Kluyveromyces lactis: one gene and its partners. The protein of the gene in region 1 interacts with the protein of each later gene in a pairwise test. Links are inferred from orthologs where the notes say so. Each region holds a gene or a part of one and is shown on either strand. Other genes may lie near its edges.

The links.
Region 2: the proteins of SGT2 (region 1) and GET4 interact in binary tests that used the Saccharomyces cerevisiae proteins (3 or more experiments, as listed by UniProt). The link is inferred for Kluyveromyces lactis from reciprocal best matches to the Saccharomyces cerevisiae genes SGT2 and GET4.
Region 3: the proteins of SGT2 (region 1) and FIS1 interact in binary tests that used the Saccharomyces cerevisiae proteins (3 or more experiments, as listed by UniProt). The link is inferred for Kluyveromyces lactis from reciprocal best matches to the Saccharomyces cerevisiae genes SGT2 and FIS1.

The regions. Positions count from the first base shown.
Region 1 is NC_006040.1:104,236-107,266, reverse strand, and holds SGT2 (Sgt2p), read left to right. Parts: upstream 1-1,412; coding exon 1,413-2,420; downstream 2,421-3,031. Other genes in the region: ALG6 (dolichyl-P-Glc:Man(9)GlcNAc(2)-PP-dolichol alpha-1,3-glucosyltransferase), read left to right, coding at 1-531; KLLA0_D01133g (uncharacterized protein), read right to left, coding at 2,484-3,031. UniProt on the Saccharomyces cerevisiae protein: Co-chaperone that binds to the molecular chaperone Hsp70 (SSA1 and SSA2). Regulates Hsp70 ATPase activity. Required for recovery from heat shock.
Region 2 is NC_006042.1:1,886,914-1,889,881, forward strand, and holds GET4 (protein GET4), read right to left. Parts: upstream 1,492-2,968; coding exon 583-1,491; downstream 1-582. Other genes in the region: polyphosphatase DDP1, read left to right, coding at 1-540; dynamin-like GTPase SEY1, read left to right, coding at 1,890-2,968. UniProt on the Saccharomyces cerevisiae protein: May play a role in insertion of tail-anchored proteins into the endoplasmic reticulum membrane.
Region 3 is NC_006039.1:696,728-699,102, reverse strand, and holds FIS1 (Fis1p), read left to right. Parts: upstream 1-1,347; coding exon 1,348-1,815; downstream 1,816-2,375. Other genes in the region: YRB2 (Yrb2p), read left to right, coding at 1-236; EFM4 (Efm4p), read right to left, coding at 319-1,017. UniProt on the Saccharomyces cerevisiae protein: Has a role in mitochondrial fission. Has a role in outer membrane fission but not matrix separation. Required for targeting MDV1 to the mitochondria.

The DNA of each region.
Region 1 (3,031 bases):
TCATTCTTCTTATTCAGCTTCCAGGTTCATGAAAAGACAATCTTATTACCTTTACTTCCTATTACACTCTTGTACACGTCAAGAGATTGGAATGTTCTATCATTGGTTTGTTGGATTAACAACGTGGCATTGTTTACACTCTGGCCATTACTGAAAAAGGACAATCTAGTATTGCAATATGGAGTCATGTTCATGTTTAGCAATTGGTTGATCGGTAACTTCAGTTTCGTCACACCACGCTTCCTCCCAAAATTTTTGACACCAGGGCCATCCATCAGTGATATAGATGTTGATTATAGACGGGCAAGTTTACTACCCAAGAGCCTAATATGGAGATTAATCATTGTTGGCTCATATATTGCAATGGGGATTATTCATTTTCTAGACTATTACGTCTCCCCGCCATCAAAATACCCTGATTTATGGGTGCTTGCCAATTGTTCCTTGGGCTTCTCATGTTTTGTGACATTTTGGATATGGAACAATTATAAATTATTCGAAATGAGAAACAGCACTTTGCAAGATTTATAGATGTTAAAATTTATAATAGCAGTAATGATACGGGGCGTACCTTGCAAGAGCAAAACCGGGATATATATTTCACTCCTCTGTTTAATCATTTAGGATTCTACTTACACTTTAATTAGTATTCATATATCGAATGTCAGTTTCGATCAAAAATAAACAAAGACAAAAAGCACCAGTATAAGACTCGTAAATGAGAAAAACAATTCTTCGTAATGAAATTCAATATAGTAAAACTCTCCATGCTGGATGCACCGTATTTGTGTAACGGCATACTCACTAAATAGGTAAAGTCTGAATATTACTTTAAAAGTATCATATGATCTGTTGTAGCTGTTATATAGAACGAAAAGTAGTAACCGTCACGAAATCTTATTCCTCGTGGCCCAATGGTCACGGCGTCTGGCTACGATGTTAGCTACTTCTGAAACCAGAAGATTCCAGGTTCGAGTCCTGGCGGGGAAGATTTTGTTTTTGATTAACTTTTTCCTTCTTTCAAGGAGCCAGCAACTCTTTGAACTTCCTTTCCATGGTTGATGGTTCCAAACTATTAGTAGCTTCTATCAAATATCACTACTTCTCAATTAAGACGGCACGAGTCAGCTTAAAAATGCTAACGATGTGAAATTGACGTGTCTCTGTGAATCTTTCGTCTTCTGTTGCCTTCTCTAACCGAAGGTTTTTCCGTACTTATCATTTTTTCGCCATTCACATTCAGGAAAAAGTTTATTATAATAGTGCTTAAATGACAAGTTGCCTGGATTTTATGTACTTTCAAAGAAGAGTTATCATTGACTCGTCCTTTGTTACTGCTTCATCTTATCGTATACAGCGGTTTGTGATCCTTATTTCATCTTAAAGCACTGTCAAAAGTTTAGAAAATCCGAATGTCCCTATCTAATAAGGAAATTGCTGCTTTGATTGTTGACTTTTTGTCATCATCGTCTTCTTCAGTAAACGAAGACTATGTTGATTCGTTGAATGTTGCCATCGACTGTATCACTGAGGCCTTCCAATTTGAAAGAGATGAGACTGATTCTTTAATCTCTGGTCCTTTTAATGGCAAGAAATTACCTGAACTATTAGCCTCAGCTCCCTCTTCTGGAGGCGTTTCTGGTGAACCAGTGAAGGTTCATATTCCAGTTGAAGATGCAGCAGCTAAGGCCAAGGCTGAAGAATTAAAGCTACAGGGTAACAAGGCCATGGCTGCTAAGAAATTTGATGAGGCTATTGAAAAATACACTGCTGCTATCGAAGTTTCTCCATCTAACGCTGTTTACTACTCGAACAGGGCTGCAGCTTATTCTTCTTTGAAGCAGTACGAACAGGCCGTTAAGGACGCCGAGCAAGCTATTGAAGTTGATCCTACATATTCTAAGGGTTTTTCTAGACTTGGATTTGCGAAGTATGCTTTGAATAAGCCTGAAGAAGCTTTAGATGCTTACAAGAAGGTCCTAGATATCGAAGGGGAAAAAGCTACTGACGTTATGAAAAGAGATTACGAAACTGCCAAGAAGAAGGTAGAAACCTCAATGAACTTAGAGAAGAGCTCTACCAGCGCTTCTTCTGAAGATGTTTCTGACAAATCTGCGACTGAAGGTCCTGGTGCAGGCGCTGGTGGCTTACCAGATCTTTCAAGCTTGTTAGGTGGTGGCGGTCTAGGCGGTGGTTTAGGAGCACTGCTAAACAACCCTCAAGTTATGCAAGCCGCTGAAAAGATGATGCAAAATCCAGGTCTAATGCAGGATATGATGTCCAATCCAGCAATGAAGCAAATGGCCAACCAATTCTCATCTGGTGGCGGCATGCCAGATTTGAGTCAAATGATGAATGACCCATCTATTAGAGACATGGCCAAAAACATGTTTGGTGGCGGCAACGGCAGCCAGCAATAACCAGTATACCCAAACTTTTGCTTGTCCTTTTTGACTGTATATATTTGATCTATATATGACTAGTTAAACATGCCCTTTCATGGTATCAATCAATTGTTGCATGATTTGTTTATTTTCCCTGATTCTTTGATCAACTATGGATTTAACGATATGATCGTGGTAAAACTGCTCTTTGAATTCGATGAATAGATTTATCCCCACTGCGATCGATTCATGTGTTGTTTTGATTTCACCGCCAATTTTCTTAAGGTTCAAAGAGCTCATTTTCAGTTGATTGGATAACTTATTCCTAAATTTAGACCTTTTACCTTCAATGTAGGTATCTATAAAATTTCTGTTTGCTGAAGAAGGAGGCGCCTTGTCATTTGGGAAATTTTTCTTCCACTCTTTCTTCAGTTCCATTAATTCACCAAAATGTTTCCACCATAAAGTTGTCTTTGCGAGAAGAGACTCAAAGTTATTAAGTAAAGTGACAACAGAGTGCTCTAGATATTCCAAGTTTCGAGTAAACTCATAATATGAAAGATCATAAGACCAAGCGCAGTTTGTATTTTCAAAACTTTTTGCTACACCTTTTTGCGACATTTGGTTCCCCAAAGATAGGAAAGAGT
Region 2 (2,968 bases), on another chromosome or scaffold:
ATGTCAGACTTTATCAAGACCGACACCTCAAGAGTAGGACGTGAGAATCAGTTGTATTCAAGTGTCACTGGTGCTAGACTCGTTGCAGGATGTATAATACTGGATGAAAGCCGAGAGAATGTCTTAATGGTCCAGTCATCCGCTCATAAGAAGAGATGGGTGTTGCCAAAGGGTGGTATTGAAAGTGATGAACCTGACTTTGAGTCCGCTGCAAGAAGAGAGACCTGGGAAGAAGCTGGTGCCACAGGCGATATAGTGAAAGCACTTGGTTCCATTGAGGATATGAGACCTCCAAAGGACTGGAACCCAGATTTGGAAGCATTCGAGAGTTCGAATGACGAAACTGTTAACAAATGGCCTCCCAGGTCCGAATTCCATTTCTTCGAGATGATTAATGTTAAATTGGAGGACAATTATCCTGAAGTGAAGACAAGAAACCGTCAATGGTTCTCCTACGAACAGGCCAAAGAAAACTTGACCCGTGCCAAGAGGCCAGAGCTCATTGAGGCTCTGAATAGAAGTAGCATCAAGAAAAGTTAGCATTATATATAACATAGAGTATGTTTATACCGAAGACTATTATTATTTACCTCCAAAGAAACCAGACATCATATCTTGCAAGAAGTTGATTGGTTTCTCGACCTTGATACCGAAGTATTCTTGGCCCAAGAATTGTAGCTCAGAGTTGTATTTGTTGGCAAGAGTTGAGTATTGTGATTTTAGATTCTGGAAAAGAATAGTTTCTTGAGTTTGACATGCGATTATTAACAACTGTAAAAAGTTCAACGATTCCCACGATGAGAAATAATCAATCTTATATGGGCCTTTCTCTGTTAACTCAAATTTTACATCTGTCTTGTGATTGGTAAACCGTTTTAAAAGTTCTTTAGATCCCTCCAATGCATATTCGATATTGAAGATGAACAAATAGTTGAATATCATTCTTGATATGAAATCGGGGAAACTGGAGTCCTCACCGGATTGCTGATACCAGTCCCAAAGTAGATCCACATACCGCTTCATCGAGTCATGAGTACCTAGCACTAGATATCTTTCCGCTTCGTATGTATATCCACCTTCAAGTAATTTTGTAGCGATCGCTGAATGTAAGTATGGGTCACCAAACTTATATTCACTATGTTTCACAGACCAATTGTTCATCCCTGTCACTACATCCTTTAAATTTGGTTCCTGGCCGTCAACGAGGACGAGTAATTGAATGAGTCTAGAGACCGAAGAGTCATTGCATGGAACCGATGCCAAATCGTAAACTTCAAGTAGATAGAAGATCAAATCTGAACCAGAACCACCTTGCTTGGACCTCAAAAACGCACCGGCTGCATGAGAAATCAAATCAATCGATTCATCATACTTTTTGGCCCGCACATATCTATTAGCAATGGTTCTTAACGTCTGATGGGCTTCATAATAATCACCAGCTTCAATTCTCGCATTGAATCTCTGTAAGGTCTTCGTTAATTTATCACTCATCTCTAAGTGTCTCGATCAAAAAACAATTAAGGTATGTAAAAACTCGCCTAACGGATTCAAAAGGCCTCTTGATAAGTACAAAATAACTTGATTCTGAGAAACACGAAAGCTGTGGTTCACTCGTTGGACCTTTACAATATGATCATGTTCTTTCTTTCTCTTCCTGGCGAAATTTCGGACCGTTAAAATATTGAAACTCAACAAAACCAATATTGAAATTGACTCGTTCATTAACTATTCTGATGAAAGATAGGGTAAAGGACAATAACAGCTGGAGCAGCAGCTGAGCTATATTGCCAAGGGATTTAATTACAATTTAGAACCGAGTAATATCTGCTTAGTGAGGTGATACATTTCGTTTTTGTTACATTATTAAGGGAACGCTGTCAAACAGTAGCATGAGTGATCTCAAAGAAGCTATTCAGCTCATCGATGAGAACAAACAATTCAATCCCTCGACATTGAACTATTTCACGAAGTGCCTTGGGGATAAAAATGTTGGAGTAAAGTATCATGTCATATCTGTTTTTGGATCGCAATCAAGTGGTAAATCGACGTTATTGAATAAATTGTTCGATACAAAATTCGATACCATGGATGCACAGGTTAAACGACAACAGACTACTAGAGGTATTTGGTTATCCCATTCTGCCAATATATACAGCTCTGGAGCTGCCAACCAATCCATTCCTGATTTCTTTGTTTTGGATGTCGAAGGTTCGGATGGTGCGGAGAGAGGTGAGGATCAAGACTTTGAAAGGAAAGCTGCTCTATTTGCATTATCAGTGTCCGAGGTTCTAATCGTGAATATGTGGGAAAACCAGGTCGGGCTATACCAGGGGAATAACATGGGGTTGTTGAAAACGGTTTTCGAGGTGAATCTTTCGTTATTTGGCAAGAATGAAAATCGTCACAAGGTAGCATTGCTGTTTGTCATTAGAGATTTTACCGGCCAAACACCATTGGAAAGTTTAGAAGCCAGTCTTGTCCTGGAATTAGAAAAAATGTGGTCACAGCTAAGTAAGCCTGAAGGTTGTGAAGATACATCTTTCCATGATTTTTTCGTTCCAAATTTCTTCGGTTTGGGCCACAAGGTCTTCCAACCTGAACAGTTTGATAATGATGTGAAGAGTTTGGGTGACTTGTTCGTTGACCAAGATGCCTCTTTCTTCAAAGATGAATACCATACTCACTTGCCATTGGATGGATGGTCTCTTTATGCAGAAAACTGCTGGGAACAAATTGAGAATAACAAAGATCTTGATTTGCCGACCCAGCAGATTCTCGTAGCTAGATTCAAAACCGACGAGATTGCAGCAGCAGCATACAACAAATTTTTGAATGACTATCAATCACAGGTCACTGACTCCTTGGATGGGAAAGAACTTGCAACAGTACTAAAAACATTACAATCAACCTGTATTGATGTCGACTATGACCCTTTCGCCTCACGTTACGCGAAGAAAGTGTATGAAGA
Region 3 (2,375 bases), on another chromosome or scaffold:
AGTCGAGAATAGTAATGAGATCCCGTGGGTTATTGAAAGTAATATTGAATCTACCGCTTGTAAAAGGATTTTCTATTAAAAAAGGGTTCCCAGGTTCTCTGAACGGAGAAAAGTTCGTCAGAATATTAGCAGTTGATGAGAACAAGAATCCTGTCCAGTATGCCTTAAGGACAGGAAAAGCTGAAATAGCAGATGAGTTATATGAGAAAGTAAATGCTCATATCCTGGAGAATTGAATTGGACATATTACTTCTGATTCAAACAGACTTTGTAAAATTGACACTACTTAAAACCTTTTGAATAATACCTTAATTAAGATTATTTAGCAGAAGATTTGAGAAAGGCAACGCTGCATATTGTAGTTCCTTTGACACCACCGAACTCAAATATTGGATAGTTTACCGATTTCCATTTTTTCAACGTCTCTGTTTCAATAATCTTTATGAGTTCCTCTTCTGTAAAATTGCATGATGTAATCAACAGAATACTGTTTTCGCCTAATATCTTCTCTATCACTTTCGGATAGACATCTACCACGGTTTCATTGTTTTCAAATTTTATACCGCTTAATGCGATGGCATCTAGTGTACCTTTATCTAGAACGACATCGAATTTACCTGGGGCCCATTGTTCATTGAATATATCTGCCGTAGCAAAAGTTACGTTATCATTTTGGCTGTATTTAGTCTTGAGAATCTCAGCAGCAAACTCGACTGATTTTTCAGAGTAATCTACACCGATCATTTCACCTTTGAAACCTTCCTCCAATAGAGTGAACAAAAGATGACCATTTCCAGTTCCGAGATCAATCATTGAGCTGTCTTCTTTGATATTGTATTCGCCCAAGTTATCTAGTAGAAATTCGACCATTTTCTCCTCTGCATCGTTATCAGCGAACCAGCATTCTCCAGTATCCTCAGGGTTCTCCTCGAAGTTTTGTTTCTCTAATGAGTAGAAATCGTCCCAGTATTCCTTAGTTCCCAACTTAGAAGTATTCAATTTTGTTGTATCTTCCATGTTTCTAGTGTAAGTTTTCTGGACAAAAATGAACCAACGGATAAATTACCGCAATTATCAGTGTTGATATTTGGAACGGAACTTCAATTGCTGATCTTATTGCGATGCCTCTGTACCAATTCTCAGAGATGACTTTCTGTATATATTTGTATATAATCAAAACGTTTTCGAGATGTCTAGCGGACGTAAGAAAAATAAATTGAAAAGTTAAAACTGATAATTTGACATTGAATTTGAAACAATATCATTAACAACATCTGAAACGATCGAAGGTAGCAGTTATTTCTTTATCTTGAAATCACTCGCACAAGCTCAAAAAAATACTGCGGTATGACTAACATCCACTACCTTCCTGAATTGGAGGATTCATATTCTGCATTAAACAGCGATCAAATCGAAATTTTAAGGCAACAGGTGCTCAATGAAGGGGGCGAAATATCATCTATTCAATCACGCTTCAATTACGCCTGGGGTCTCGTCAGATCGACGAATAAGGAAGATCAGATGTTGGGTGTTAAGTTATTGACGGACATATACAAAGAATCTCCAATGAGAAGAAGAGAGTGCTTATACTATTTGACCATCGGATGTTACAAACTCGGCGAATACTCTACTGCAAAGCGGTACGTGGATGCACTAGTGCATCATGAACCTGAAAACAAACAAGCATTGATGCTACAAACCGCTGTAGAAAACAAGATCACTTCTCAGGGATTAAAAGGGATTGCCTTGATCAGTGCAGGAATCGCCATCGGCGCAACCACCATCGGCCTCCTTATCAGAGGCAGAAGGCGCTAACAAATTTCTTTCCTCCACTACATTCTCAAGAATAGAAATATAATCTCCAGGGAATATCCTGTCACCCATATTACTCGCTTGTAAATAATGTTATATGTATGTCCCTATCAATCTAATGAAATAATCTGCTAATGATCAAAATATATTCGAACTTGTGAATCTTCAATTCATGAATTGCATCACAAAGTTTACATTAAAAGATGAAATGTAGTTACAAAAGTGAGAACAACGAAGAAGTGAAATGTTTCTGTTACAATTGCTAGTAATGATGGATACATAGGAAGAATTGTTTCCATTGGACCAAGTACTGCCCCACAGTTCTAGTGGCCTTCGCCTTCGCCTTGGGTAAAGGCATTGGTATCGTATCACGTGACCATAGGAAATTTCCAGATTACCAAATCAGTATGATGGTCTCTCCTCCTTACTAACTGGCGGTATCACGTAGTCTTCCATTAAATAGTAACAAACAACAACAACCGAGTCTAATTCTGTCCAGTTTGCCGCAATTCACACACCTAGCACCCTGTTCTACGTCTGTTTTTTCCTCTTGTTTTGTCGAA